4 linked regions of the Tamandua tetradactyla genome follow. Each later gene encodes a partner of the first gene's protein in a complex. Links are inferred from orthologs where the notes say so. Each region holds a gene or a part of one and is shown in the gene's direction. Other genes may lie near its edges. The genes, in order: MED20, MED26, MED21 and CCNC.

Region 1 (7,690 bases):
TCAGGAGGAAGGTGGCTACTGGTACCTAGTGGGTAGAGCTCATGGATGCTGCTAAACATTTTATGTTGCACAGGACAGCCCTCACAACAAGTAATAGTTTGGCCCAAATGCCAATAGGGCTGAAGCTGAAAAATCCTGGGTTTAATGAAACTCAAGATATAACAGAAATTTGTTCAAGAAAACTGAGCTCACCACTAAGAAAACTGAGCATACCAAGACCAAATGCAATGGGACATAACTCCCCAGAGAAATTTCCCAACTAGCTGGGACAGTTGCAGAACAGGTGCACAGAGAGGGACGATGTATTCCAAATCTAGGTCATTCCCTTTGAAGATGGACCAGTTTTGTTAAAGTCGTCCCTCACACCTGGGAATGTCAGGCCCTTTCCAAAGATAGGGAATCAAAAGTCACCAGGGCATTTGTTTCCCTGTGAGAATCCACCTCCAGGATCCACTATCCCAAATCCAAGGATGTGCCAGACCCACCTAACAGGAGGGTTCTTGTTCATGAACATCTCAATGGCACGCTCGTCTTCAGGGTCCACATCCACTTCGGCATGGTGGCTCACCCCTGTCATTGTGGCAGCCTTCTCCAGGGTGGGCCATTCCTCATCCTCATCATCCGATCTATCCTGTGGCACTCCTGGACCTAGAAAATGGGAGAAGAGATGGATGGGCATAGCAAGGAGAGGGCAAAGGATGTAGAATAAATTTGACACTATCTATTATAAGCCTCACAAGTGCTTATAAGAAATATAGATGAGTGCAGTGGAACAGACGATGCACATACTATCTTCCTGTCCCTAGGGGCTTACAATCTTGCTTGAGAAGAAAAAAAGCACACACATGAAACAATGAGATAGTGACACCAATAAATAGTATTTAGCACAACATACCCAGTTATGTAGCAAGAACTGCTCTAAACACTGTACATATGTTACCTGGTTAACCTTCAGAACCCTAAGAAATAGGTACTATTATTATATCCAGTTGCAGACGGACACACAGAAGCACAGAAAAGTTAATCTGCCTAGGGAAGGAAATCTGGGTATAGAGTCCGTATTCTTTGACATGCACAGGAAAGCTTGATCATATGCCAAAATGAGTAGTAGAGACAGTATACCATAGACATTTAGGTGAATACTGAGGACAATCAGGCTCTCTGGACAGGCAGTACGGGAGCTGGAGGAGGGTGTTCCAGACCTGACAGACGACACTAGCAAATGGAACTTTGTTACAAGAGTGTCTGTTAGATGGGTGGGCCACAGTGGCTCAATGGCAGAGTTCTCGCCTGCCATGCTGGAGACCCGGGTTTGATTCCCGGTGCCTGCCCATGCGAAAAAAGAAAAAGAATCAGAAAACATGATTTTAAATGAATAAACTTATGAAGTATGTAACAACATGGATGGACCTTGAAAACATTATGCTGAGTGAGACTAGCCAAAAACTAAAGGACAAATACTGTATGGTCTCACTGATATGAACTGCATTAGTGAATAAACTTGGAATATGTCTTTGGCAACAGAGATCATCAGGAGATAGAAATAGGGTAAGATATTGGGTAATTGGAGCTGAAGGGATACAGACTTTGCAACAGGACTGGATACAAAAACTTAGAAATGGACAGCACAATACTAGCTAACTATAATATAATTATGTTAAAACACTGAATGAAGCTGCATGTGGAAATGATAGAGGGAGGAGGGCTGGGGACATAAATGAAATCAGAAAGAAAGATAGATGTTAAAGATTGAGATAGTATAATCTAGGAATGCCTAGAGTGTATAACAATAGTGAAATGTACAATGTACAAATTTTAAAAATGTTTTTGCATGAGGAAGAATAAAGGAATGTCATTATTGCAGGGTGCTGAAAATAGATGGTAATTAATATTTTAAAATGTCACTTTACGTGTGAGACTAAAGCAAAAAATGTTTATTTGTTACAAAATTTATATCTTGACTAGAGCATTTCCTAATATAACTTATGTAGATAGTTTGATTGAACGTCATAAGTACTTGGAATCTCAGGTAGGATGTGAGATTTTGTTGGTTTGTCCAGAGTGATGCCCCGATGAATCCCAGAGTGATTTGATCAGTGAGTGGAAAAGTATTTTCAAGCCCCCTTCGGGGAATGGTGAGAGCAGGGAGAAATTCAACCTCCCCAAGTCGAATTTTTGATCTTCTCACAAGCAGTGTGGACAACCAAAGCTGTAGCCTGAGCCCCCAGTCTTGGGGTTTGTTCATATGAAACTTAACCCCACACAAAGGATAGGTCAAGTCTACTTAAAATTTAGGCCTAAGAGTCACCCCCAAGAGAGCCTCTTTTGTTGCTCAGATGTGGCCTCTCCCTCCAGCCAACATGACGAGCAGTCTCACCACCCTCCCCCTCTCTGCGTGGGACATGAATCCCAGGGGTGTGGACCTTCCTGGCAACGTGGGACTGATTCGATTGTGTTAGGTAGTGGCAAGAAATAGGGCTACAATGGTAAATTGAAGCCAGACTGTGGAGAGTCTTAAGAGGTGAGGCAGTGGAGTTATTTCAATCCAACAACCAATTTGAGTAACTGATTTTTTGAAGACTAGAGGTTGGTGGGCATCTGGGAGGAGGGGTACTAATCCAATCGAGGAGAGAAAATACTACATAGGAACAGATCATTAAGAACAGAGCATTGTGTGATGAAAGAACTAAAATTAGGGTGGGGGGAGGGGGAATACACAAATATTTTGTTCTCACATGTCAACAACTTCCAAATCCATACTTTCTTCTTAGATCCAGATGCTAACTCCAGGCTTCTCCTGTACCCTCCTTAGATGACCCAGGCACTTCATCTGTCACCAAGTGAACTCATTCTTTTCCCCAAGACTGCACCACTTACTGTGGTGACTACCTCCCAGCCCTGCCTTGTCCATATTCTCAGCCTGCAAACCCAATCAATTACGAAGTCCTATTCGATTCTACCTCATGGAGTATCTCTCAAATCCTTCACAGCCCTTTCTAAACCTAGACCAGCATCATTTCTTGCTAGATTCATTCACCAATCCCTTAACTAGTCTCCATGCTACTGACCTTGCTTTCTTTCAACAAATTCTCTACTCTACAGCCAATCTAAACTTCTGGAACCACACATTTGGTCTGATCAATGTTAGATAGCTTTAAATCTTGGTATGGCCTCCAGGTCTACAAAAGCTCCTATGTACCTCACCATCCTTCTTTAATCAATTCATTCAGCAAACATTGATGCCTCCTATATGTAGGGCACTGTTCAGGATACTGGGAATACATCAGTGAACAAGAGAAACAAATTTCTGTCCTCGTAGAATCTCTGGTACATTTTAACTGGGGGACACAGATCATAAATAAACATAACAAATCAATACACTGGGTCAAAAGAAGACAACTGGAATGGAAAAAAAAAATGAGACAAAGGAGCGCTGCTAGGACTGTTGAAACTGGAATGTGGGTACTGGAATTTTAAATAGAGTGGTCAGAAAAGTCCTCTTTGAAAAGGTGAAGAATTAAGCAAGTAAGCCTGCAGGTGTATAGGAACTGAACATGCTAGGCAGAGAGAACAACCAGGGAAAAGGCCCTAATCTGCCAACTTCAAGGAACAATGAAGCTATATGGCTGGGTGGGGTGGAGTGGAGAGAGCAAGCGCAGAAAGTAGTAGAGAGGTCAGATTGGCTTTAGGGGAAAGGACAGTGTCAAACTTGTTCGTTTCTGTACCCAAATTATCCAAACTTCCTTATAAACACTTATGGAGCAAGTGGATAAATACCAGGACAATTTAATGGATAATGAGCGATCACATCCCGCTGGCCTAATTTTAGGGGCGCCTAGGACCCCTAGAATCTTACTGCCTAAAACTAGGAGTGGGCAGGGGTGGGTTGAGGTGGGGTTGGACCACCTTAAATCCGCTTCAGGGCTCGGTCTCCCATCCCATTACTTTCTAAAGAGCGTAATATGGGCACTTTTTTCAAAACTCCAAGCTTCTCCCCTGACGGACACCTTTCAGCCATTCATCCAAGTATCCACTCTCTCCCTCGCACCCCATTCCCGGCCGCTCACCCAGCCGCGCGGTGCGCTCCCTCGGCCCCATGGGCCTTTCCCCAGCGCCATGCTCGGCCTCCAGCTCCTCCTGCTGCTGCCTCGCTTGCTGCAAAATTCGTCGGGTCAGTCGGGGCCCCACATACTCTTCCTCTTCTCCGGTGCCGCGGCTCCGCCGCTTTTCCCGGGTCCCGGCCCGCACTGCGTCCCCAGCTAGGATCTGCTCGGCCAGGGGCGCAAGTTTTCCTTGACCCCCGGCTCCCCGGGCCGCCTTGAATTTGGGCATTTTTCTCGAAAAAGTGGCCGCGAACCTTCACACGTGGGGACAGAGGCGAGCAGCCGAGAGTGCGCTTGTGCAGTGAACTTCCAAAGCCTACCAGGCCGCGCGGAGAGCACAGCGCCCCCGAGTGATTGGAGGACAGAAATGCCGTCAGCGACACCCAACTCCACTCCCTAAAAGTTCGCACGGGCCCTGAATAAATTCAAATCCTGAATAAATTCTTTGCATTTAACGATGACTGCTGTAAGTGGTGGCAGTTCGAACCATGCTTTCCAAGCATCGCAGATCCAAGTCTGGGTATCCAGCCAAATAGGACGTCCATACTTCCAAGCCTGAAGCTGTCACTGGGCTGCGTGACGTCTCTGCATACGTCACGGTGAGAGCGCCCAAGCACGTCTCTGTACCCTCCTGGCGCATCCATGGGACGCTTTGTTTTTATATAACTTCCGGTGCCTTCTCCCTCGACCGAAGCTTACTTTTGGGGGCTTCATTTAATGTGGGCGGTCGGAGAGCACCGCGTTTCAGCTGTTTGAATCTGCCACCCTCTCATCCGACACCATGGGAGTGACTTGGTAAGACTGCACAGACCACTTGGGATTTTGTGAGACGGGTTTTGGGATCATGAAGTTGCCCTTGGAGCCTGACTGGACCGAGAGGTGTAGCGGGACCGGGGTTCTCCGACACCCTGAGGGAACTGAACAAAATGCCCCTGGGTTATATGGGTGAGGGGATCCCGCGAAGGTTGCAGGTTCTCGGGGTCTGTTTCTTCGGAGATAAGCTCCTTTCTCCTGGAAGGCAGCAGGTAAGATTTTTTTTGGGGGGGGGGGGGGCAGGTAGGAGTTTTTAATCCTAGGAGCCTATCAGTGGTTGTGTACCTCCTTTCCTTTTTTCTTCGTACATTTTCCTGCACCTTATGTTATGGTACTGCTAGGAGTACTTCAGCTTTGGGGATAGGATATCCGCACCAGGACCCGTCCGCAAGCAGGGCTGAAGAAAGTGGTGGTCAGGCAACGAGTAGAATGCCTTTTTTTTTTTTTTTTTAGGTCTCTCTTGCCCCTCCCTACAGCCACAAAAAGTGTTTGGTTCTACATTGGCCATTATATAAAATAAACTATTAGAAATTAGGAGATGGAGTTGCAGTTGCTTCACCTCTTCACAGGACCTGTTTCCTGCTATGTTAAATTACAAGGTTCTACTTTCTATGGGCTTTCTCTCTCTAACATGTTATAAGCCACAGTTGGAAGAAGGCAAGGTGATAGGGAAAGGCGTGGGTCTAATATTTTGGAGGTGTTAGTTACAAAATGTTAGGTTTCAGGACATTAAAAAAAAATGTCTTCAGGTGTGCACATCTTTCCTGTCAGAGAGAACTGGGGACTGGGATATCCGAAGTTAGTGGCTCTTGACTTCTCATATAACAACCTGTGGGAAATGCTTTTTCTTGTAACTCAGGCTCTTACAGGATTGTCTGATTGTGCCCTAGCTTCTCACGGTAGACCTTCGAGAGGATCTTCGAGTCCTCTGGTGTTAGGGAGATATGTGAGTGATGGGAATAAAAAGTTCACAGCACAGAGGCTTGAAATCCTGGAAACCCCTGGTCTTTCAAAAGAGAAAGCATCCAGAGAGAAAGGCCTTTCTATCTGTTGTGCTTTCTATCTTTTTCCAACTTTTTCAGAATCTTAGAACTTATCCTTGTAGCATTAGTTTTTAGGATCCTCTTCTGTGTAAAATTAAGTCACATCACTATTATATAACCGTGCTTTTTCTGAGAGATAGTAGTGACAATTTTTAGCGGCAGTAGGACTCTAACTTATTAGCTTCGTTTAATCGATTGATCATAAAGTAATGCATTGTCTACCAAAGTACAGGCATATGATTGTCTTCATGATTTTTGCCATAGCTAGTTACCAGCTATACTATTAGGTACTAATGTTTTCTTTTAAGTTTATTCCTTTAAATGTTATTTAACAGGCAACTACATCCTTAGAGAGAATGTCTGACCTTGGGCTCATTAGTTAACCTCTCTGTACCTCAGTTTACTCATTTGCAGCAAGGAGATAAATAATAACACCTCTTATAGGGTTGTTGTGAGGACTGGAAGAGTTAATTCATCTGAAGTCCCCATTTTAGAGTTAATTCACCTGAAGTACACTGTCTGGCACATGGTAGGTACTTGTTATCTATTACTCTAAAGGGGAAGCCAGTTTCACTCACCCTCAAGTAGAAGGAAATCTTGGAAATAACATGTTTCGTTTTCCTGCATTATTAAATTCTTGTAGATGCCACTGCCTCCCACTCCCAAAGATTATAAATTTGAACTCTGCTTTCTGTTTGTTCAAGGCTGTCAAATAGAACTTTCTGAGATGATAGAAATTTTCCATATCAACATTTTCCACTATGCACTTGTGGCTATTGATCCCCTGAAATCTGGGCAGTGCTACTGAGGAGCTGAATATTTCATTTAATTTGTTTTATTAATTTAAATAGCCAGATGTGGCTAATTGTTACTCTACTGAAGAACATAAGTTGAAAGTGTTAGAGTTAGTAAAAATGTACTAAATCGGGCTGGCCACGGTGGCTCAGCAGGCAAGGATGCTTGCCTGCCATGCCAGAGGACCCGGGTTCGATTCCTGGTGCCTGCCCATGTAAAAAAAAAAAAAAAGAAAAAAGTACTAAATCAAATTGAGACTTTCTCCTTGATATATTTAGAACTGAAAAAAATTACTAAGGGAATCTCTTGTTTTATGTGATTCAGTGTTATTGAATACTCAGCCTAACATCTCTTGCATGATGGCACAGTTAACATCAGTAGATGTTGGTGTGATGGGAAGTTCACTGTACTGGTACATGAGTCCTGAAACCTGTGCTGTAGTTCCTAGAGGAACTCTCAGAGACTGTGGGCCTCTGTTTCTTCATCTTTAAAATTAAGAGTCACGTGAGTGGAGTGGTCTCTAAAGTAACTCCTGATGACTTGTGATGCTGTGAGTGAGCAGTTGGCTTGTTGAATGGCTATACTAGTGCATGTGTGTTTCTGGATGCTAATGATTTGGTCCTTTTCCTTCCAGTGTGTCCCAGATGCCTGTGGCTGAGGGCAAGAGTGTCCAGCAGACTGTGGAGCTCCTCACCCGGAAATTGGAGATGCTTGGAGCAGAGAAACAAGGAACATTTTGTGTGGACTGTGAGACCTACCATACGGCGGCTTCCACCCTTGGCAGCCAAGGTCAGTGGGATTGCACTGTAGGATGGCTGCAACCTGGCTTGGCGTTGATGGACATTCATGTTCACTAAAGTCTTTCTGATCTAGTTGTGTTTCTGAATTCTTTAAGTTGTTGTTTCTTCATCTGTTAGACTGGAGCTATTTTGTTTT
Region 2 (7,270 bases), on another chromosome or scaffold:
ACCTGTGGGAGCACTTTACCTTCCCTGCCAACGTATTGTTTTTCACACTGGGATGCAATTCCCACCTTCAGTTTTGAGAAGTTCCACTGGCCAGTTGAGGCTCTTCTAGTTTTTGCTTCTGTCTGCGCCACCCTTGTGGCATCTCCTGTTTTTCAGCATCAGCCCCCTAGCCCCTCTCTGTGTCTGCTGTCAGGGGTGGGGTTGGGGAGTGCCTCTAACTGGTTTGTGTTTTTCCCAAGACATCTGGGAACGCTGAGATGTTGGCCCATTGCAGTCACCATCCAAAATCCAGAATCCAAGTCACTTAGTTGGATGATTGGGTATCCAGCGAGACAGGAGCAGAGAAAACCTACTGATGGGTGGTGAGATAGAAGTCTATCCGGAAAAGTGGCAGTGGTTGTGGCTGAGAGGGCCTCACAGGGTAGACAGAGTGCTCGGACATGGCAAGGTGCAAGGCTGCTGAGCTCTGGGAACAGAGGAGCAAGATGATGCCAACCATGCAGCAGCTTGGGGAAGCCAAGCAGGTGAGACCAGGCACAGCACAGGTGAGGGGCAAAAGGAACATGCCCAAGACACATCACAAAAGAGAAGTCGAGAGGAGAGGGAGCAGGAGTTGCACAGCCTTTGGGCCAGAGAGCACAGTTTTGATTCAGAAAGATCTGCCATGGGATCCCAGCTGCATTTGGGATGTTAAGTAACCTGTAAACCTCAGGCTTCTCCTCACCTGTAACTGGAGGATGCGGTCGTAACTGTGTTTTGGTTTATCTATTGCTGTGTTACAAATCCTCCAATATTAAGTGGCTGAAAACAGCCCTTGCTTAGGCTTGGTTCTGTAGGCAGGACGGCTCAGTCCCTGTGGCCAGCTGGTTCCTTGGTTCTGCTCCACAGAAGCCCAGGCCTCCCCCTCTTGCTATGTGGCCCCCCAGAATTCTCCAGAATTCTCACGAGGCACCTTGGTGTGACAAGGCCTCCTTCTCTTTTTTTAATTCACAATTTATAATTCACATACCATAAAATTACCCGTTTAAAGTGTAATTTCAGTGACTTTTAGTATGTTCAGAATTGTGCAACACTCATTAAAATCTTAATTCCAGAACATTTTCATCACCCCAAATGGAAACCACTCACCAAGTAAGCAGTGTTTTCCACACCTGACTCCCCCAAGCCCCTGGTAACCTCTCATCTGTGTTCTCTGTGGTTGCCTGTTCTGGATCTTTTGTTTGAATGGACGCATACAATATTTGTCCTTCAGTGTCTGGCTTCTTTCACTCAGCGTCATGTCCTCAAAGTTCATCCATGTCATCGCATGACCAGAACTTGGCCCCATTTTATGGTTAATTGATACTCCATTGAATGGACAGACCACGTTTTGTGTGTCCATCATCTGCTGATGGTCATTTGGATTGCTTCCACCTTTTGGCTATTGTGACTAATGCTGCTATAGGCACTGGCATACAAGTCTCTGTGTGTGGATGCTTTCAGGTTTCTTGAGTAGGATTCCTGGGAGTTGGATTGCTGGGTCAGGTGGTAACTTCCAGAACTTCTTATGGCTTTAGCCTGGAACAAGCAGAGCATCGCTTCCACTGCATTCTTTTGGCTAAAGCAAATCACAGGTCCAGCCGTGTCAAGGGGAGTGGATGGCACAGGGCCTGCATACGGGGAAGTGGGCTTCCTGGGGGACCCCATGTGAAGTCCTCAGGGCAGAACCTGATATGTACTTAACAAAAGCTACTCCTTGCTTTTATTTTCTTTATTACTAACAATAATGACCCACAATTGGGGCTTCCACACTAAGGAAGACACAAACTGCTTGGATATAGGTGTACACTCATTGATGTCAACCTGACAGCAAATCCATCACCTCCACTTTGGAGGTTATATTGGCATGCTTTCTGATTAGTGCCAGATTCAGGTGGTAAGAGCTGTGACACCTCCTGGAGATCATGGGCTGGTCCCAGCGCTTGACATACTAGACGAATAGGGGCAGTACATGCTTGTTCTAAAAAATATAGAATTACAGGAAAAAGTAAAAATCACCTGTCATTCTACTTGCTAGTGATAACTACTCTGTTAAAGTCAGGCCACAGACATGGGTCAAGGTGGGGTAGTATATTTTGGCACATTTTTCCTACTAGTTACCAGTGTCCTCCCTTGCCTTATTGGGGGAAGTCCAGTAACTTCCCCTCTAAATAGCCCAGGGCTCCCAGGGTCCGGCTGAGGGAGTCTGGAGAGGCACAGCCCTGCTCTCTGCAGGAGGGAAGTATTGAGTGCCCTCCTACCATGGCTCCTGGCAACACGTGGCACCGCTGCTGAGGACTGGGCCAGCGCAGCCCTGGCAGCCGGGGTGCCCTTCTGCTCGTGCATCTCCTGATTCCTGCTTGGGCCCCAGTCCCCTCCTGCCAAGTATGTCTCCAGATGCCCTGTGTTCGTGCTCCTGGAACTTCCTCCACAGCCACCTTTCCAGGGCATTAGCCGGTCACGGACTCCAAACCACGGGCTCTGCTTTCTTGGAGCTGCTCTTGAAGAGGCGTCTCCCCCTTTCAGGGGCATTCCAAGCACAAAAGATCTTGTCCTCTCAGGACACTGGGGCCACTGGTCTCTGTACCTAAATAATGGTCACATGGTCAGGGAAGAACTATTACCAGAAGAGGGTTTACATCACGCCCCACCTGTGCATAACTGACAGGCGCCGTTGGAAGTCTCTCTTCCTTGAAGCAGGTCCGTCCTGAACTTCGGAGAAGCAGCGGACATTTCAGGACTTCTGTCCAGCGGCTGTCTTATTTCATCTATTCCCCCTTCTCTGTGAAATGTTAAATGCGGAGTAAAACCGTGTGTGCGTGTGTGCATCCACGCGTGTCTTATCTATACAATCATCACGAAAAACTCATCGAGTCTCGCTGCGCCAGGCCCGTGGGACCGAAGGTGTGCACGTGTGTGTGGGTATGCACACGGTCACGGGCTCCTGACGTGCTCACTCACCTACCCGAGTCTCCGACGTGCCCTGGGGATAGGGCGGCGGGTCAGCGCCCTCACGCAGGTTCACGGTTAAGGTTCTCCCTAGTTTAAAAAGAGCAGGTGAGTTGTATTCTCCAATATTTCTTAATTTGAACCCCACAAAATAAAAGGTTTACTTCTACGGCACTATCGTTATCTATGCATGTGTAAGCTGTTATTCATCTGAGTTAGAAACCAGGAAGAGGCACGCGGAATGGACCCCGGGCAGGGCTGGCGGGCGAGGCCGGCGACCCCCGGAGGCCCAGCTCCGGCCCGCAGAGCGCGGCGCTCGGAGCCGGCGGGGGCTGGGGGCTCGTCCCGCGCGCAGACGCGGCGCTCCTGCCGGCCGAGGCGGCCGCCCTCCCTCCCGCCGTCCCGGGCTCCCGGGGCCGCTCTGCCCGCGCCCGCTGGGCGACCCTGGGCCTCAGCTGCCCCGTTTGTGACGCGTGGGCCGGGGAACGAGGACGTCAGTTCTCCGGCGTCTCCCAGCGAGGCAGGCGCTGGGGTCCTTTAAGCCTCCTTCGGGGCGCTTCGGGCAGCGTCGGGAGCCGTCTGGGCCGTCCCGCGCGGGGAAGGGGCGGCCGGTGGCCGGAGGCACGGTGCTGCTCCATAGAGCCCGCCCGGCCCGCGTGGCAGAGCCCCGCCTGGGGCGCAGGGGCGCGGCCCGGGCTCTGAGAGGCTGGTGCACCCCCAGCTCGGCGGGCAGAGCCCGGCGCCGCCGCAGGCACCTCAGGAGCAGCGGCCAGGACGCCGCGAACGTTTCCGACGGCCCGGGCGGGGGCGGGGCCTGCTGGCGGTGGCCGTTGCTCCGCCCAACCGCCTCCCAACGGCTTCCCTCGGCCGGCCGGCGGGGCGGGGCGAGGCGGCGGGCGAGTGCGCCTGCGCGCGCGTGCGCCGACGCGTAGGGCAGGGCGGAGCGCGCGGCCCCTCCCTGGCCCGGCGTCTCCGCCCGCCCCATCTCCCAACCTCCTCAGCGTGGCGCCGACGCTGCGTACGGCGCGGGTTACCCACAGTGCTCCGCGCGGGGGCAGCTCACTGGAGTTTGGTTCTCGAGGCGGCGGCAGCGTCGGCGGCGGCTCCGGCGGCTCCTCCTCCTCCTCCTGCGGCGGCGGCGGCGGCCCGGGCCCGAGTCCCGGCCCCGGTTCCCCTCCCCCGCCGCCCCGCGCGTCCCCAGTGCCCCGGCACCGCAGGGAACATGCGGCTCCGCTCCCGGGGGCCGGCGAGTGAGTGACCCCCGGCCCCCGCCTCAGCCCGCCCGCCCGCCGGCCCTGCCGCTCCCCCCCGCCTCGCCCAGGCAATGACAGCGGCTCCGGCGTCTCCGCAGCAGATCAGGGACCGGCTGCTGCAGGCCATCGACCCCCAGAGCAACGTGAGTACCAACCTCGCGGGCCGGGACCGAGGCCGCGTGGGCCTGGGACCCTCCTCGTCCCCCTCCCCCGTGCCCCTCGCCCGCCCGGCCCCGGGGGACCCGCCCGGCGCCCCCCTCCCCCGGACGGTCGCTGCCATCCCGGCCTCTCGCCCCCCTGAGCCCAGGCCAGGGACAGATCGGGCAGCCCGGCGGCGCTCGGTACGTGAGGCCGAGGCTTCCGTGCGGCCTGGGCGGAGGGAGCAGACGGGGGCTGACGCCAGAGCTCGGCCTTTCCTCCTCCTCCAGCTCTCTGACCCTCGCTGCTCTGGACGCGGCTCACCCGCCTCGCCTTCACCCTGGGATCTGAGACCCCCGAGAAGCCCTCCCTGTGAGGGCATGAGAGGGAAGCAGTCTGGGTGCAACTGGTGTCCTGGGCATGACTCGGGGTGCCCGTGTCTGCCCTGTGTCGGCCTTCTGGGTGATCAGAGAAGTCCTTTCTCCTCACGCTTGGGAGTACCTTCTTGTTTTCGGAAGGAATCCTCTCCTCCCCTCCCTCCTTGCTTTGCCCCTAGCCTGGTGCCCAGGCCCTGGCAGAGTCCCCTTCCGTTTTGTGACTGGACCTGCCTTTGTGGGATCCCTCTCGGGTTGTTGTTGTGGGAAGATGATCTTGGGGAAGGTGGGATTCTTCCTGTGGCCTTCCTGGGTCTGACTGACCTGGCCAGAGCTCTGCTTTTTGGGGGTGAATTAGGGGTGGTGGTTTTCTCTCATGGTCCCCTCCCTTTCCCCCAACCTGGGGGTCCCAGCCCGGTGATTTGTGACCTCTGTCTCAGGATTGTCACTTTCTCTGTTGCTCCTCCCCAGAGGCTACTGTTTTGCAGAGGTAACCCCCTACTCCGTGTGTGTGTGTGGGGGGGGGTGTGGGGGGACTTGCTGTGCTCTTCCTTGTGCTCCCCGAGGCACATTGGCAGAGGGGGCACTTCTCTCTGGAGCAGGTGCAGGTTGGGCAGTGGGAGGATGCACTGAACTTCTGCGTTTGCTGGCAGACTAGGAAGTGGCCATTGAGATTACTGTGTGGTAGGCTGGAGATGGAAGGAAAATCATCTTGGGCTTGGCCAAGTAACTCTGTTTTCTCCCCTGTAAGAGTTCTTGTTCTTTTGTGACTCTGGCCACTTCTTCTCAGCAGTGTGTTTTGGTCTGGTAGTTTGGGAATAATTCACACTCAGTTGTGCAGTTTTGCTAGAAGTTGAGGGATTATGGTCTTTGTAAGGCTCTGACTTTGGTGTCTTAAGTCATTCTCTTATCCCTCTTTTTCAGGTCCCATTAAGATTGACTTGCTGATAAATTGTCTCAAGCAAATGTGTACGGTTTTGTTATGACTTTGGGGGTGGAGTAGGCACAAGCTATATAAAACCTTCCAGAATGTCCTTTTTTGCAGTAACTGATGCTACTGCGGTTCTTAAGTCTGAAATATTAAAAACAAGTGACATGAAAAATGTAGCTTTGGTGAGTTTTGCATCTTTTGTCAAGCCAGAGTGTAATTTCTTGAATTTCATGTGCTTGCTTCTCTCGGGAGAGAAGGGGCTGCTAAAATGGTAGCGCTGACCCTTAATGCCACCTAGGAGAGCTTAGGGTCAGGAGGTGCTTCAGGACATGTGGGCCATGACGCTGCACATCAGTGCCCATGACCTTGGAGGGGCCCCACTGTTTTGTAAGGCTCTAATCTAAAGGGTTCAGCACAGATTGGGAGAGTATAGGGAGAGGGGCTAACGAGGGGCGGAGAGAAAGAGTGAACCTTAATTTCGTGTGCCTTGGCATATGCATAAACATTATATTTATACAGATCTGCGGTTGCATTGTGAGGTTTGGAATTCAGATTTTGACTCTGGTCATAGCATGGTTGAGTCCTAGGGTGATGGATGGGGTTGGGGAGTTGTGTCTCTGAACCCATGAAACTCGATGGAAGTGGCTGTTTTAAGTGTTATCAGTGACTGGGTTCGACCACAATGTGGCTTTGCCTGAGCCCCATGCAGAAACTTCGCAGCCCTGGAGAGATGGTTGAGGGGATGGTGGGGAGGCCTGGTGTGTCCATGGGCCTGCAGCACCTCCCGGCTGGCCTGGACATGGGCGGGAGCGGGGGTCCCAGCCTCGGCATGGCTGCCACGTGGCTGTCTTGCCCAATTAGGAATTTCAGTTCTGGATAGGTGGTTGACACATATTTAAGATGTGTGTAGGAAAAAAAAATGGGGACAGTGTTGAAGAGCCCACACTAAAATTAAACCTCTTCTGTGAGAAGTGATGAAAATTGTGTCATATAATGTTTACCTTTATGGACACACAGTTATGGTTAAGAAACTTAGATTTTGCTTGAAAATTCAACCTTGGACAGCTGACCTAGTATCCATAAGTATCTGCAAGGCTGGGGAAGAAACAAGAATTAACAGAGTAACATTTCCTGACTACCTTCTTCATGAGTTCCTATGAGGAAAGTTGTTTTTTGTTCTAAATTCCAGCCTCTGGAGTATTTGAATTTCTACAGCAGCAGGCTCTGAGTTAATACTTTCCTGCCCACTCAGAAAAAGTAAATCCTCAGCACTCTTTTTCAAAAAGCAGTTCTCAGTTTTTCAGACCGGTTGAAGCCTTATTCTTTTCGGGCTGTGCGTTAACCTAGAGCGCTGAAAATGTTCAGCCGTGCAGCGTGCAGTTTGTCCCAGCTTAATTCCTGCTTGTGAATGGAGTCGAGGGTCCTGTCGTTCTCTTGCCCAGAAGCCACAGTGTGTCCACTGGCCATCGGAGCCCAGTGTCCTCAGCAGGTGATGGGGCATTGGTGTGTCTCCAAAGCTGTTGTTTCACTCAAGTACGAGCTCTCTCTTCTTGACTAGAATGCAGGCTCTGGGGCATGTTTCACTTCTTTTCTTCTCCCAGCGGTAG
Region 3 (7,001 bases), on another chromosome or scaffold:
TATAGATATCCCTTTTTAGTTCACAGTGTATTTTTTTTAGGGTAAGAAAGCTGTTGCTTTTTAATAGCATTATGACAGTAGACATGCCTGCTGATAGATCTTCCTCAAGAATTATTTACGTATAGCTGTTTACAACATAGTTTTTTTTAAACTGTTTTTAATATTGTATAACACATAAACAAAGCAAAGAAAAAAAGCAGTTTTCAAAGCATCCCAAAGTTTATCATGGGCTACCATACCATCATCTCAGATTTTTCCTTCTAGCTGCTCCAGAACATTGGAAGTAGCCTTGATTCTTGAAGAGCACTATATAATTATACAGCTTTTACAGTGTGCCCATGTAATTGTGAAACCCGTGTGGCTAATGCTTCCTTTTTCCAAGGGTATGGGCAGATGAGTAAAAAAATGACAATAAATAAATAATAAAAGGGGAATAAGGGGTTAAAAAATTGGGTACATTGCAATACTAGTGGTAAGTGATATGGAGAGGTAAGGGGTATGGGGATTATGGTTTTTCTTTTTTATTTCTTTTCCTGGAGTGATGCAAATGTTCTAAAAAATGATCATGGTGATGAGTACACAAATATGTGACAATATTGTGAGCCATTGATTGTATACTTTAGATGGACTATATGGTGTGTGAAGATAGCTCAATAAAAATATTTTTTTAAAAAGGAGGCTGTTCATGAGATTTTGTAGGTTTGCCAGAGTGATGCCCAGATAAATCCCAGAACGATTTGAACAGTGAATAGGGAAGTATTTGCAGAGTTCCCTAGGGGGAATGGTGAGAAAGGGGGAAAATTCAACTTCCCCAAGGGGAGAATTCTTGATATTCTCACAGGCAGTGGGAACAGCCAAAGCAATAGGACGAGTCTCCAATTTGGGTATTGCTCACATAAAACTTAACCCCGCAAAGGATAGCTAAGACTACTTAAAATTAGGCCTAAGAGTCACTCCCAAGAGAACCTCTTCTGTTGCTCAGATGTGGCCTCTCTCTCTCCGCTGATACAGCAAGCAAACTCACTGCCCTCCCCCTCTCCACATGGGACATGACTCCCAGGGGTGCGGACCTTCCTGGCAACGTGGGACAGAAATCCTAGAATAAGCTGGAACTCAGCATCAAGGGATTGAGAAAATCTTGACCAAAAGGGGGAAGGGCGAAATGAGACAAAGTGTCAATAGCTGAGAGATTCCAAAAAGAGTCGAGAGGTTATCCTGGAGGTTATTCTTACACATTAAATAGATATCACCTATTTAGTTAAGGTGTAATGGAGAGGCTGGAGGGAACTGCCTGAAAATGTGGAGCTGTGCTCTGGTGGCCATGTTTCTTGAAGATAACTATATGATGATACTGCTGTCACAGTTGGACTGTGTGGTTGTGAGAACCTTGTGTCTGATGCTCCTTTTGTCTACCTTATCGATGGACAAGTAAAACATACGGGTTAAAAATAAATAAATAATAGGGGGAACAAATGTTAAAATAAATTTAGTAGATTGAAATACTGGTGATTGGTGAAGGGGAGGGGTAAGGGGTATGGTATGTATGAATTTTTTTCTGTTTTTTTTATTGCTTTTTCTGAATTGATGCAGGAGTTCTAAGAAATTATCATGATGATGAATATACAACTATGTGATGAAAGTGTGAGTTATTGATTATATAGCAAGAATGGAATGTTCATATGACAAGAATGTTTGTGTTTGTATGTGGTTATGTAGCATAAAAAAAAAAAAAAAAGAGCCTGTTAGGTATTGAATCACGTCCTCCTCACAAAAGACATGTTCAGATTCCAACTCTTGGTCTTATGGGTGGGAACCCATTCGTAAATAGGACCTCAGAAGTTGTTATTAGTTAAGGTGTGTCTGAACTGAATGAGCCTTAATCCAGTATGGCTGAAGTACTTAAAGGCAAAGGAAATTGGACATGGAAAAGAAGCCACAGGAGCCGGAAAACATCAGAACCCAGAGAGAAAGGAGAAGATGCTGCCATGTGCATTTGCCACAGGTCAGAAGAGAAAAGACAAGCCAGCCCCAGAATGCCACAGTTTCAGTGAGAAAGCATTGCCTTGCTGATGCTCAATCTGGGACTTCTCCTAGCCTCAAAACCTTGAGCCAATAAATTCTTGTTGTTTGATCCAACCCATTGTATGCTGTTTGTTTTAGCAGTTGGAAAAATAAAACAGAGCCCATGGCCAAAAAAAAAAAAAAAAAAAAAAAAAAAACTGGGGAAAACAAGGATTCAGGGGCTTTGACTGAAGCAGAGGTTTATTTCACTCAGAAAATGATTGGGAGGTGAGGCTGGATCTCTTTGCTGGAGCTGGATTACAGCAAACCTTGAAAATCGGGTAGAAATAGTTGTCTTCAACCTGTAGTCTCTGCAAGGCAACTGAAAATCTAGAAGCAAGGTGTGTACTAATATGAGTTATCTTGAAGAGGCTCCTCTACTCCAGGAGCCCAAGTTCTCATGAGTCAGGCTGAAAAACTCAGTATTCTCATTTAGTGCATTCTTTCATTTATCCCGTCTTATCTAACCAATCACCAATCCATGTTAAATTTTCCTCAAAAACATGTTTTAGCCTCCTTTCTTCATTTACCAGAATTAAAATCCTAATTTAAATTTAACTCATCCCACTCTTGGATAACTGCAAAATCTTCCTCCTAATGAGTCCCTGGTTTACTCATCTTTGAAAATTCAGCGCCCAACATACACATCTGGCACACGGCAGGCATTCAATAAGGTACATGTATTGTACCAGGTAGGAGAAAAAAAGTCACAGATTCCCCCCAAACTATTCTTAACAAACTAGAGTCACCGCTCATTAGCCCCATTTTGAAAGAGTCGCCTCACCTACTTTCTAATAAAGCCCCAACAGGAACTTTGAAGGCTTAGGGATGGAGAGTGAGATGCCAGGAAAAGTCAGAGACGAGCCCTCGAGCAAGGGTTGGGATAAATCCAGCAAGAGAGTTACCCAATTGATTGTTTCCCCCACCCTCCTCCAACCCTAGGAGGGTAATCAGGGATAATCAGCCTAATCCTTGAGAAAGACGGTATCTGAGTTTATTCAAAGTCCACAAAGCTGTTATTTGCTGATTCTAGGCTCATTTCTTTTCAGGCTATCCCCCAAGCCCTTGCAGGATAACTTTCCTTAAATAACAAATTTACATTAGCTCTCTTCACACTTAAATAGGTCTCTATTCTGAGTCTAAATTGCGCTGAGTATCTTTTAAAAATGCAACCTACCCAACCTATGAATCTCGCTTATTTCCAGGAAACTCTCCTCTTCTGACTACACATTGTAAAACCTCCATGTTCCTCTCCACCGACCCTCCTCTTCTCTCACGCCTCACCTTAGCCCATGGAGATCTCACTACGCGGTACTTTTCTAACAGTCAATACAGCCTAGTACTCAGTTGTTTTGGACGGTTTCCATTTCACGTGCGTCAGACTCCCCAGTACACCCACACGCTGAATTAACGCGAACAGCTTGCACCCAGTCTCCAGTTCGCTAAGCCCTTCCGTGACCCTACACAACAAGGGAGGGACTCCAACCAGAACTTCCCGGTTGTCTAGTGAATTTTACTTTGGATTTTCTGAGTTTAAAGTCGGTATCGTGACTCCCAAGTATTTGGAGTTGCATGCTGGGTATATGTTTTATGGTCCACCTGGAAAATAAAAGTAACGTAAAATAAGTAGTCTAAGACGCTGTTATAAAATTAAAACATGGTGGCGGAGGGTAGAAAAAAATGCTTTAAACCCCCGCCCCCCACCGAGTCCCATAGTCGCCACAAAGTGTTTAACACCTAACAACCTCGAGAAGAGTTTCAGCCCTACTAGCTAATCGGACTCCGAACTGTCATCAAGTTCCTCAAAAAGAGTTCCAGCTGAATCAATTTAAAGTTAATCTGAGAAAGTCTTGCCCAGAGAGCACTCCGACTCCACCTCTTCTGACAACTTCACCCTGTGATTGGCCAAGACCCGACTAGCGCCGCCCAATCGCGCACGAGCAGAGGCTGCAGCGTCGCTTTACGTGAGCCATCAACATGGCGGATCGGCTCACGCAGCTGCAAGATGCTGTGAACTCGGTGAGTGGATTCTTTAGATTTGTCTCTGTCTACCCCTTTCCTAAGGTAAAGCAAAGGAGGAAGAGGGCCCGAGAAATAAACCTGGACGTGGGGACGGACGAAGGCGGTGCCTCAGTATAAAGTGTAGGATGGCAGGAGGCCCCTCGGAACTCTGGGAAGATTGAGGCGGGCAGCGGGGGCTTTGCGCAGAGCTCCTGGAGGGAACAGGTAGAGTGAGAAGGGGAAGCGTAGGATCTCTCTCCTTCCCAGCAGTCCACTATGATTCTTGTGCTCCAGGGTCCTGTCAAATTTTCTGAGAAGTTTTATTTCTTGTCAGTGGTGTTTATGGATTCTCTTCTAAGGGGGCGGAAGAGGGGGGTAGGAAGCAGATCTTTTTTTTTTTTTTTTCCGTTATCGGTACTAATACACCAAGGCGACCCGTTCTTGGTGTTCGAACCTTTTTTTAATGAAGAAATTGTGAGTTTACAGAAGATTCATGCATAAAATACAGGATTCCCGTATTAAATACTTTTATTAAAAACTTGCATTGGTATGATTCATTTGTTAGAGTTAACGAAAGCTCATTTTTGTAATTTATTAACTGTAGTCGATGGCTTAACTTACAGTTTACTATGTTGTGCAGTTCCTTGAACTAAAAAAAATTAACCACATGTATACAACATAGCATTTCCCGTTTTAATTACATTACTAGATATCTAATTCATTGCTTTTATACATTCAAAATGTTGTGCTAACTTCACCACCATCCATTACCAAAACTTTTGCATTGTCCTATATAGAAACCCTCTATAGTTTAAGCCTTAATTCCCTATTCTCTACCTCCACCGCATTCCATAGTAACCTGTATTCTGGATTCTAACTTTATGAATTTGCTTATTCTGATTATTTCATATCAGTTTGATCATACAATGTGTGTCCTTTTATATCTGGCTCATTTCACTCGGCATAATGTCTTCAAGGTTCATCAGTTTTATCACCTGTATCAGAACTTCATTCCTTATTCTGAATAAAATTCATTTGTGTGAATAAACCGCTTTTGTTTAACCATTTATTAGTTGGTGGACACTTGGATTGTTTCTATCTTTTGGCAAGTATGAATAATGACGCTATGAACTTCGGTGTACAAATAGTTTGAATCCCTACTTTAAATTTTTGGGGGATATATACCGAGTAGTGAAATTGCTGGGTCATATGGTAATTCTATACTTAACTTTCTGAGGAACTGTCAAACTGTCTTCCCATAGTGGCTGCACCATTTTACATTCCTACCAGCAATGAATGAGTATTCCTGTGTCTCCACTTCCTCTCCGACACTTGTAATTTTCTGTTTGATTTTTTTTTTTAATAGAAGCCTTTCTAGTGGGTGTAAAATGGTGTCTCATGATTTTGATTTGCATGTCCCAGATGACGCATGATGTTGTGTATATTTTTATGTGATTTTTGGCCATTTATTTATTAGAGAAATGTCTATTCAAGTTTTTGCCTATTTTTAACACTGGATTGGTTGTCTATTTGTTGAGTTGAAGGATTTCTTTATATATTACAGATATTAATCCCTTATTGGATATGTGGTTTCCAGATGTTTACTCTCATTGGGTAGGTTGTTTTATGTTCATGATAAAGTCTTTTGCACAAAATTTTCAAGTTGGTTGAGGTCCCATTTATCTGTTTTTTCTTTTGTGGCTTGTGCTTTGGGTATAAAGTTGAAGAAACCATTTCCTAATACAAGGTCTTGAAGATACTTCCCTGTTTTTTCTTCTAAGAGTTTTATAGTTCTGGCTCTTATATTTAAGTCTTTGATCCATTTTGAGTTGATTTTTGTATGATGTGTGAGATAGCGGTCCATCTTCATTCATTTGTAAATAGAGATCTAGTTTTCCCAGCACCATTTGTTGAAGAGATTCTTCTTAACTGATTGAGTAGTCTTTGCCCCCTTGTGAAAAATCAGTTAGCCATAGATGTGAAGATTAATTTCTGAGTTCTCAATTTGATTCCATTGGTCTATATGTCTGTCCTTGTGCCAGTACCATAGATGTTTTGATTACAGTGGCTTTGTAAAAAATTTTAAGATCAGAAAGTGTGAGTCCTTCAACTTAGTTCTTTTTCAAGATTGCTTTGGCTGTTTGGGGGTCACTTTAACCTTCCATATAATTTGATGATTGGCCTTTCCATTTCCCTAGAGAAGATTGTTGAAATTTTTATTGGGATTGCATTGAGCTGTAAGTCAATGTAGAGTTGACATTTAAGAATATTTAGTTTTCCAGTCAATGAATATGAAATATACTCTCATTTATTTTGGTCCTCCTTCATTTCTCTTAGCATTGCTTTGTAGTTTTCTATACACAATTCATTTACATCCTTGGTTAACTTTATTCCTAGATATTTGATTCCTTCTTCTGATTATTCATTATTAGTTTATAGAAACACTACTAGATTTTGTGTGTTAATCTTGTACCCGACCACGTTTGTTGAATTCAGTTATTAGCTCTGGGAGCTTTGTTGTAGATTTTATAGGATTCTCTGTATGTAGGATCATGTTATCTGCAAATAGAGAAAGTTTTACATCTTCCCTTCCAATTTTGATGCCTTTTCCTTCTTTTTCTTAACTAATTTGCTCTGGCAGAAATTCCAGTACAATAGTGAATATCAGTGTGACAGCCAGCATCCTTGTCTTTTTCCTGATCTTAGAGGGATAACTTTCAGTTTTTCCTCATTAAATATGATATTAGTTGTGGGTTTTTCATATATGTCCTTTATCATGTTAAAGAAATTTCCTTCTATTCCTAGCTTTCTGAGTGTTTTCATCATAAAGTGGTGCTGGATTTTGTCAGTTGCCTTCTTTACATCGATTGAGATGATCATGTTTTTTTCCCTTCATTCTGTTAATGTTAATTAATATTGTTAATTAATTGGTTTTCTTA
Region 4 (7,622 bases), about 58 Mb from region 1:
ATCTGTCCAGATAGGTTAAGTTAGATTAGGGGCTACAAAAAAATTAGGTTTTGGGAAAAATAAATCTCTCTTGCTTTGGTCCTATAGAGTAGGTGAAGTTCTAAAATATAGATGATGTCTTCCTTACCCCTGTATTCTGATCCACTTTTTCCCAACCTGATTGGCTTCATTCTTATCTCTAACTGAAGCCTGATCTCTTTTTCAATTTACTTAACCATTGTTGTATGTGGCAATGCTGATTTTCACATCACAGAACTCCTTTCCTGAGTCTTAGTTGTTACACAGGTACTGAAAGTTCTAGGGAAATACCATGTTATACATATACATAGCACAGCCTCTCAAAATCTAAAAATAACAATTTTCTTATAACTGTTTTCTAAATGAAACCATACAATATTTGCTCTTTTGTTTCTGACTTATTTTGCATCACATAATGTCCCCCAGGCTCATTCACATTGTTGCATACCTCATAACTTCATTCCTTTCTGCAGCAGTACAATATTTGATCATAGGTTTACAGCATAGTTTACAATTCCATTCTCAGTGTATCCTTCAGCCACCTCCATCCATTGGGCATCATGTATAATGTCTAAAGTCAACAGTCCATCTCTTGCATTGTCATCACGTACTGGTATGATCATCAACAGTTTCAACTTTGGACAATTTCCATTGCTACCAAGAGAAAAATAACCAATAAACACACTCTCACCAAACAGAAAATCCAAACCTCCCCTTAACTCTTGTCCTTCCCCCCCCCCCCCACCAAATATTTACCCCTGGTATTGCTGTGTACTGTTGATGTCTTCCTGTTAAATATAGCCTATAACATGCAATAGTAGTTTTCCTGATATTATAAACTTTTTGTACAAGATTCATACCTCTGCAGTAGTTCATGCAAAAACTTATTTATATTTGTAGTGTTAATTGGTGGGATACATGGCTCTATCCAACCTTTTTCAATCACGTTCACCTTCAATATGGCAATATCACTTACAGACCCACTTATGAACAGCCTTCACTACTATCCATTCCCTTACATTTAAGTTCAACCTCACCAGCTAACTGTTCACCCATCTCTAGCTTCCATGTATCTCTAGGTCCCCTATATTCTGTATTATAAGCCTCTGAGTTTACCTTTATCAAGGTCATAACAGTGAAATCACACATTAACTATGCTTCTGTGTCTGGCTTCTTTCATTAGCATTATGTCCTCAGGCTCATCCATCTGGTCAGGTGCTTCAGGACATCATTTTGTTTTACTGCTGTATAAATATTCCATTGTATGTATATACCACATTTTGTTCATCCATTAATCTGTTGATGGGCACTTGGATTGTTTCCATGCTTTGGCAATTGTGAACAATGCTGCTATGAACATTGGTGTGCAAATGTCTGTTTGTGTCAGTGCTTTCAGTTGCCAGGTCATAGGGCAACTCGGTATTTCATTTTTTAAGGAGCCACCAAATGGTAGATCCTTTTTATAATTTCTATATTTTTATCAAATTTTTCCTTTGCTTCATTTATCATTTTCCTGAATTCTTTTAGTTCCTTTTTCATATTTTCCTTTAGCTCATTGAACTTATTGAGGATAGCTGACAACATATTTTTGGTAGTAGTTCCAATATCTGAACTTCTCAGGAATGGCTTCTATCACTCTATTCTATTTCTTTGAATGAGCTACCTTTTCCTGTTTCTTTTATGTCTTCTGATTTCTCATTGTAATCTGGAGTTGAACTTTTAATGTGCTAACTCTGGAAATCAGAGTTATTCTCCCCTTTTTCTAGGTTTTTTTTTTCCTCTTATTAATACTGAAGGCTGTAGTATTATGTGTTTAGGGATTTTTTTCCAAACCATGCAAAAATTATATTCTTTGACATGTAAAGTCATTGAAATCTCTGTTCCTTTAGCTTATATTCAGCTTGTGGAAATATGGAGATTTTCTTACATAAGGGAGCCAAGAAAACAAAAGAAATAACAGAAAAATACACCTCACCCAGTCTTTGCAGATTGCTTTCATGCTGGGACTCTCTTTCAACACTCAGCCAACTTTGCCCTGAATCTAAAGAAGAGTCTGAGGAAGATGCTTTGGGTCCTGTCAGGTTTTTCTGAGCACGTATCTAGCCCTGTGAGTGTGCAGGGCCTTGTACATCCCCCCATATAAATGGACACTTCAAATGTCCTTCTTTCCCAGGAAATCCTTCGCATCCTTTCCTCCCAGGCCCAGAAGCTCAATTGTTTATCTCATCTGCATAATATTTTGCCTCAAGCAGACGTGCTTTGATTTTCTTAAAGTGTTTCAGTGGCTATGCCTGCTGCTTCTCCATCTAGATTGAGTTCTGGGTGAGACAGAGAAGAGCACCAGTCTTTCAGGCTGCCATCCAACACCATAGAATAGACATATATACACCCTAATCTGTGAATAAGAACAGAATCAAGTGGTAGTCCAGTGACAGAAACAAAGTCTAATAGGAGCCTAAAGATTAATAATACTGATAAATAATATATTATTAATATTTTTTTGGTGATGCCAGGCCAAGGAAAAAACTCTAAGATATTTGAAGAAATGCTGCAACCTTTTTGAAGCAGCCTATGGTCTGGTGTTTCTTAAACCAGTGTCTTACAAAATTTTTTACTATGATCCACAGTGTAGCAGACAGTAATGTTCATCACATATACTACATGATCCTTTACATTTCTCAGCCTCCTTTGCAGTTAAATTGGAGTCATGTGCCTATTCTGGTCAATGAGCTGTTGGAGGAAGTGACTGTGTTGTTTTTGATTAAAGGTTGCATACTTTCTTTAGATAGATTATAAGCCTGAAAGCAAAGAATGTCAAGATGGAGGAGTTGTGCATGGGACATGACTCTCAGGGGTGTGGACCTTCCTGGCAACGTGGGACAGAAATCTTAGAATGAGGTGGGACTCAGCATCCAAGAATTGAGAAAAACCCTAGAATGAGCTGAGACTCAGCATCAAGGGATTGAGAAAATCTTCTCCACCAAAAGGAGGAAGAGTGAAATGAGACAAAGTGTCCATGGTTGAGAGATTCCAAACAGAGTTGAGAGGTTATCCTGGAGGTTATTCTTACGCATTAAGTAGATATCACCCTGTTATTCAAGATGTAATGGAGAGTCTGGAGGGAAGTGCCTGAAAATGTAGAGCTGTGTTCAAGTAGCCATGTTTCTTGTAGATGATCGTATAATGATATAGCTTTCACAACGTGACTGTGTAATTGTGAAAACCTTGTGTCTGATGCTCCTATTATCTACCTTGTCAACAGACGAGTAGAACACATGGAATATAAATAAAATAAATAATAGGGGGAGCAAATGTTAAAATAAATTTAGTTTGAAATGCTAGTGATCAATGAAAGGGAGGGGTAAGGGGTATGGGATGTATAAATTTTTTTTCTGTTTTCATTTTATTTCTTTTTCTGAATAGATGCAAATGTTCTAAGAAATGATCATGATGATGAGTATGCAACTATGTGATGATATTGTGAATTACTGATTATATATGTAGAACGGAATGATCAAAAAAGGAATGTTTGCATTTGCTTGGTGTTTTTTGGTATTTAAAAAAATAAAAAATAAAATAAAATAAAAAGATGGAACAGCTGTAAGATAGAAACAGACTAGTTCCCTGAAGATCTGGAGGACTCCACCAAGAAGGGCAAGCTCACTCACTTTATGGAAGTCACATATAAAAAGAGACTTTATGGAAGTCACATATAAAATACTTTTATGTTAAATCATTGAGCTAAAGGGGGAAGGATGTTACCACATTTTAGCCTGGTCTAGTTTATCCAGACTAACTCACACAGTAATATATGCATTTCACATCTTGGAGCACTACATATGTCTATACATAATTGAATAAAAAATTGTAAAATGACAATTATCTTTCTTATTTCTGACATACTGTGAGCATTTCTATTCTACTTAATTTAAAAAAGTGTGTGCCACATTCACTAAAATAATTTCACATCTTATTTGTTCTCACGCTGTGGGAAAAATGTCTAAGTTGCCTCGGAAAACTGGTCTTCTATGAACAACTTCCAGGTGTGTCCAATTATTTAGAAAAATAATTAGTTTTGAAATAAATGCAATGTTACAATGATAATAGAAAAGGAAAATAAAGAAACATGATTTTATTTCATCTTATAAAATATTGCATTTTTTTTGCAGTATTTCTCTTTAATGCACATATATATGAAAATGTTTGGGGATGTTCTGCAAAACTGGTGGGTCTCAGGTATAAGAAGAAAACACTTGCTCTAAAAGTTTGCTCTTTTATCACTCCAAGAATTCCACTAAGAACGCATGGGGTTTGATGCCCGCGGGTCTTAGTAGGTCCGTGAAGCCAAAACAAAATTCATTTATTTCTCTTTTCAATCCCGCGGGGGATTAAAATCTAGTTAGAAAATTACCGTGCTTTATTACAATAACATCGAGAGGTCCTGTAGGCTTTGGATATAAACTAACCAATCAGAGCTAGACGCTTCTCCCACGTTAGCCTAGCAGAAGCGCCAACCTTACAGGCTTTAGGCCCGAATCTATGAAGCTCTCGCGAGAGCCTTCCGTCCGCCGTGACCCTTCGTAAGCACCAATACCAACTCCGGCGCGGCCACATGTCGTCTCCTCCCCGCCGGTTTCCTCCGCTACCATGGGGCGGGCCGGAACTTTTGTCCTTAGGAACGCGTTTACGCAGCAGCGTGTTGTCGGCCGGCATCTATGAGAACAAGGTGCCGTCCTCTTCCTCTTGCCGTAGCCGCCGCGGAGCGGAGCCGAGCTGATCAGATAGAAGAGTGCGGTTACCCGGCGGGCTGGGTCTATGGTCGCTCCGCGGGCCGCTCCGCCGGCTGGTGTTTTTTTATCAGGGCAAGCTGTGTTCCATGGCTGGGAACTTTTGGCAGAGCTCCCACTAGTAAGTGTTCTCGGTTTTCCCGCCCAGGGTCCGCTTTTGGAGGGCGATGAGGATGGGGCCTGCCACTTCTCGCAGCCTGGATCCCGGTTCTTGGCCCAAGCGCGGCAAGGTCTTCCCGAGAGGTGGCAGCGGCCGGAAGCGGGATTCGCTTTTCAGAGGCTACTCTCCTCTCCCCGCCCCCTGACCGGGTTTTGGGGGAAGGATCTGTGAGCTGAAGAATGGGTCTAGGAGCGATCCCCGGAAAGCATGGTTAGGAGTGTAATTTAAGGTTGTTGGATTAGCTAGGCCCGTGGGGATAGGATGGTATGAGCACATGTATGGAAAGTGTGTTTCAGTTCTGGACTGTGAATCTGGCTCCTCAGGATAGGTGATGCTCGCTTTTGCTTGGAAACTCTCAGAGAATGGGACAGTCGTTATCCCTCTTCTCTTGAGTGGATTTAATAATACTCCAAGGAGAGGAGGGAGTCCAGTTTGTTTCTGCTCGTTAATTGATTCCTGCCACTACTCTATGCCTAGATGGAGTTTTATGCTGGTAAGGTATAGGGCAGGTGCTCTGAAACTGTATCTGTTTCTTTAGTCTGTCTTGTATTTTGTTTTATAAATATATTTTCCAGTGATTTTATATGCCGATTTCATTAACCTTTTTCATGAGTAGGTTTTTGTTTCTGTCAGCGACCATTGGAAGAGCTAGAGTAGTATTTAAAACATTTCTCTCTGAATACATTTGTTTAAGCAGGTAGGAAGATGGATGATGGACTTATTAAACATTGATTAGACTTTCCATGTGTAGGTGAAAGATGAACCGAACCCGATAAAGAAAAATGTATCTTAGAGTAAGTAATTTTTAGTACTTAGCATTAGGAACTGTAACTTTAAGATTCTGTGACTAATATCAGTTCTTTTTGTTCATTTCCCTCTCCCCCCTTTTTTTGGCCCTTTACAGAGGGGGAAAAAAGGAACAATGGGCTTGGAAAACTGTTTTCAGAAAAGCAGGTTTTTCTCTTATCCTAAAGCGATTGGAGATGAAATGTTGTAAGAGCTACACTTCTGATTGTTGCCATTTTTATTTTGTGTTTTCCACTCGCTGAAATAATTGCTTGGGCAAAGTTAAAATATAGAAAGTTTAGTCTACTAAACTTTGTAGACTTTGAAGAAAGCTGAAAGAACTGTTGATTGTGAAAAGTTAGAGCAGTTTTTCAACTTAAAAAAGTAGATCCTGCCCCCTTTTTTGATATGCATTCTTAATATGATTTTATTTGCTGTTGTCCTTATTAAAACAATCGTTTTTTACTTCTCGGATGCAAAATTATAATGTGAAATGTGCTTTTTAAAAACCGTACCTACCTCCCAATTCAGTATTCCTGGGGGAAGGAACCTCTTTACCTCACTCAACTCCCTTAAGAATCATGGAGTCCCTGATCTGCAAAAGGTGACAAGTATGAAAGACAAGACAATCAAGTCTGGAAAAACAGGATTATGATAAGTCACTGCTTTAGGTACACAGCAAAGATTTTGGTGAAAGAGGAAAGTTGACATGCATCTCTGAAATCAGCATGGCAATTTTTTTAGTAGCACATGAAATAATGCTGAGTCTTACAATGAATGGAATCCTTGATTTGAAGAAATACAGTATTTATTAATTTGTTTTTTCCTCCCTTTAAAGTGCTGAGGGGAAAACTTTTTAAAGATTTTGTGAAATTTATCTCATAAAAGGACTTTGTGGAGATAAAATTAATGATAATCCCAGAATAGAGCACATCACATTCTACTCCAGAAAATTTAAGTAGAGCAAAACACATCTTCTGATGATACGGCTGTGAAACTGGCACTAAATAAATGTTTGCTGGTTGCTCAAATAAATGAAATGAGCAGGTAACAAAAATAACCAAATTTGGTTACTTTATTGTATCAAAAAGTAAACTGAAAATACAGTTACATTGTATCTAGAAAATAACATGAGATCAGTATATATCCATATCTATGGAACATAGCCAAAACTGAACTTTACAAGAAAATTAACATCCTGAATAAAAATAAGCCAAATACTCTATTTAAGATTATTAAAAATAAAATTGACATATAAACCTAAGGAAAACAGAAAGAAGGACTTAACACATACTAGTGTATTGAAAAGGGGAAAAGAGGTCAGATTTTAAGAGCTGGTTCTTTTAAAGGGAAAACTAAAACAGTAGACCAGAAACTATTGCTAGATGTATCAAGGAGAAAAAAGAATGTTCTAAAAATACAAAATGACATTTAATAAAATTTAGCATGTATTCTTGATTAAATTTCTTACTAAAACAGAAATAGGATGCTTCCTTAATATGATTAAAACAGCAAAGCATCAGCAAGAGATAGTTTAATGGTGAAACATTAGCAAAATTAGGGTACCTATTCAACATTCTGCAAATGCTAGTCAATGCAGTTAATAAAATGAGATAAAAACAAAATTATATTTAGAGATAATTAATTGGAAAACTGAGTTCATTGAAAGTTGTTAGAGACAGTACAGATTTCAGGTGATCAGTTACAAAACAAACTTAAAGGCTTTTTACTAAATAAATGATAGAAAAATGTCAGTCACAGTAGCAACAGAAAATATAAAGTACTTAAGAAAAAACTAATGTACAAGACCTATAGAAAGTTTGAACTTTAATATTATTTTTTTAAGTATTTGATGTTGTATGTCTGAAATA

The links.
Region 2: MED20 (region 1) and MED26 share a complex: the UniProt entries of both Homo sapiens proteins name them as parts of the mediator complex. The link is inferred for Tamandua tetradactyla from reciprocal best matches to the Homo sapiens genes MED20 and MED26.
Region 3: MED20 (region 1) and MED21 share a complex: the UniProt entries of both Homo sapiens proteins name them as parts of the mediator complex. The link is inferred for Tamandua tetradactyla from reciprocal best matches to the Homo sapiens genes MED20 and MED21.
Region 4: MED20 (region 1) and CCNC share a complex: the UniProt entries of both Homo sapiens proteins name them as parts of the mediator complex. The link is inferred for Tamandua tetradactyla from reciprocal best matches to the Homo sapiens genes MED20 and CCNC.

What each region holds. Positions count from the first base shown.
Region 1 is NC_135331.1:99,518,315-99,526,004, reverse strand, and holds the start of MED20 (mediator of RNA polymerase II transcription subunit 20), read left to right. Parts: upstream 1-4,680; 5' UTR 4,681-4,884; coding exon 4,885-4,898; intron 4,899-7,388; coding exon 7,389-7,543; intron 7,544-7,690. Other genes in the region: BYSL (bystin), read right to left, coding at 486-648, 4,068-4,332. UniProt on the Homo sapiens protein: Component of the Mediator complex, a coactivator involved in the regulated transcription of nearly all RNA polymerase II-dependent genes.
Region 2 is NC_135337.1:95,127,166-95,134,435, reverse strand, and holds the start of MED26 (mediator of RNA polymerase II transcription subunit 26), read left to right. Parts: upstream 1-4,249; 5' UTR 4,250-4,291; coding exon 4,292-4,363; intron 4,364-7,270. UniProt on the Homo sapiens protein: Component of the Mediator complex, a coactivator involved in the regulated transcription of nearly all RNA polymerase II-dependent genes.
Region 3 is NC_135333.1:90,068,056-90,075,056, forward strand, and holds the start of MED21 (mediator of RNA polymerase II transcription subunit 21), read left to right. Parts: upstream 1-3,988; 5' UTR 3,989-4,038; coding exon 4,039-4,080; intron 4,081-7,001. UniProt on the Homo sapiens protein: Component of the Mediator complex, a coactivator involved in the regulated transcription of nearly all RNA polymerase II-dependent genes.
Region 4 is NC_135331.1:157,138,837-157,146,458, reverse strand, and holds the start of CCNC (cyclin-C), read left to right. Parts: upstream 1-4,611; 5' UTR 4,612-4,894; coding exon 4,895-4,926; intron 4,927-5,729; exon of another isoform or gene 5,730-5,759; intron 5,760-7,622. UniProt on the Homo sapiens protein: Component of the Mediator complex, a coactivator involved in regulated gene transcription of nearly all RNA polymerase II-dependent genes.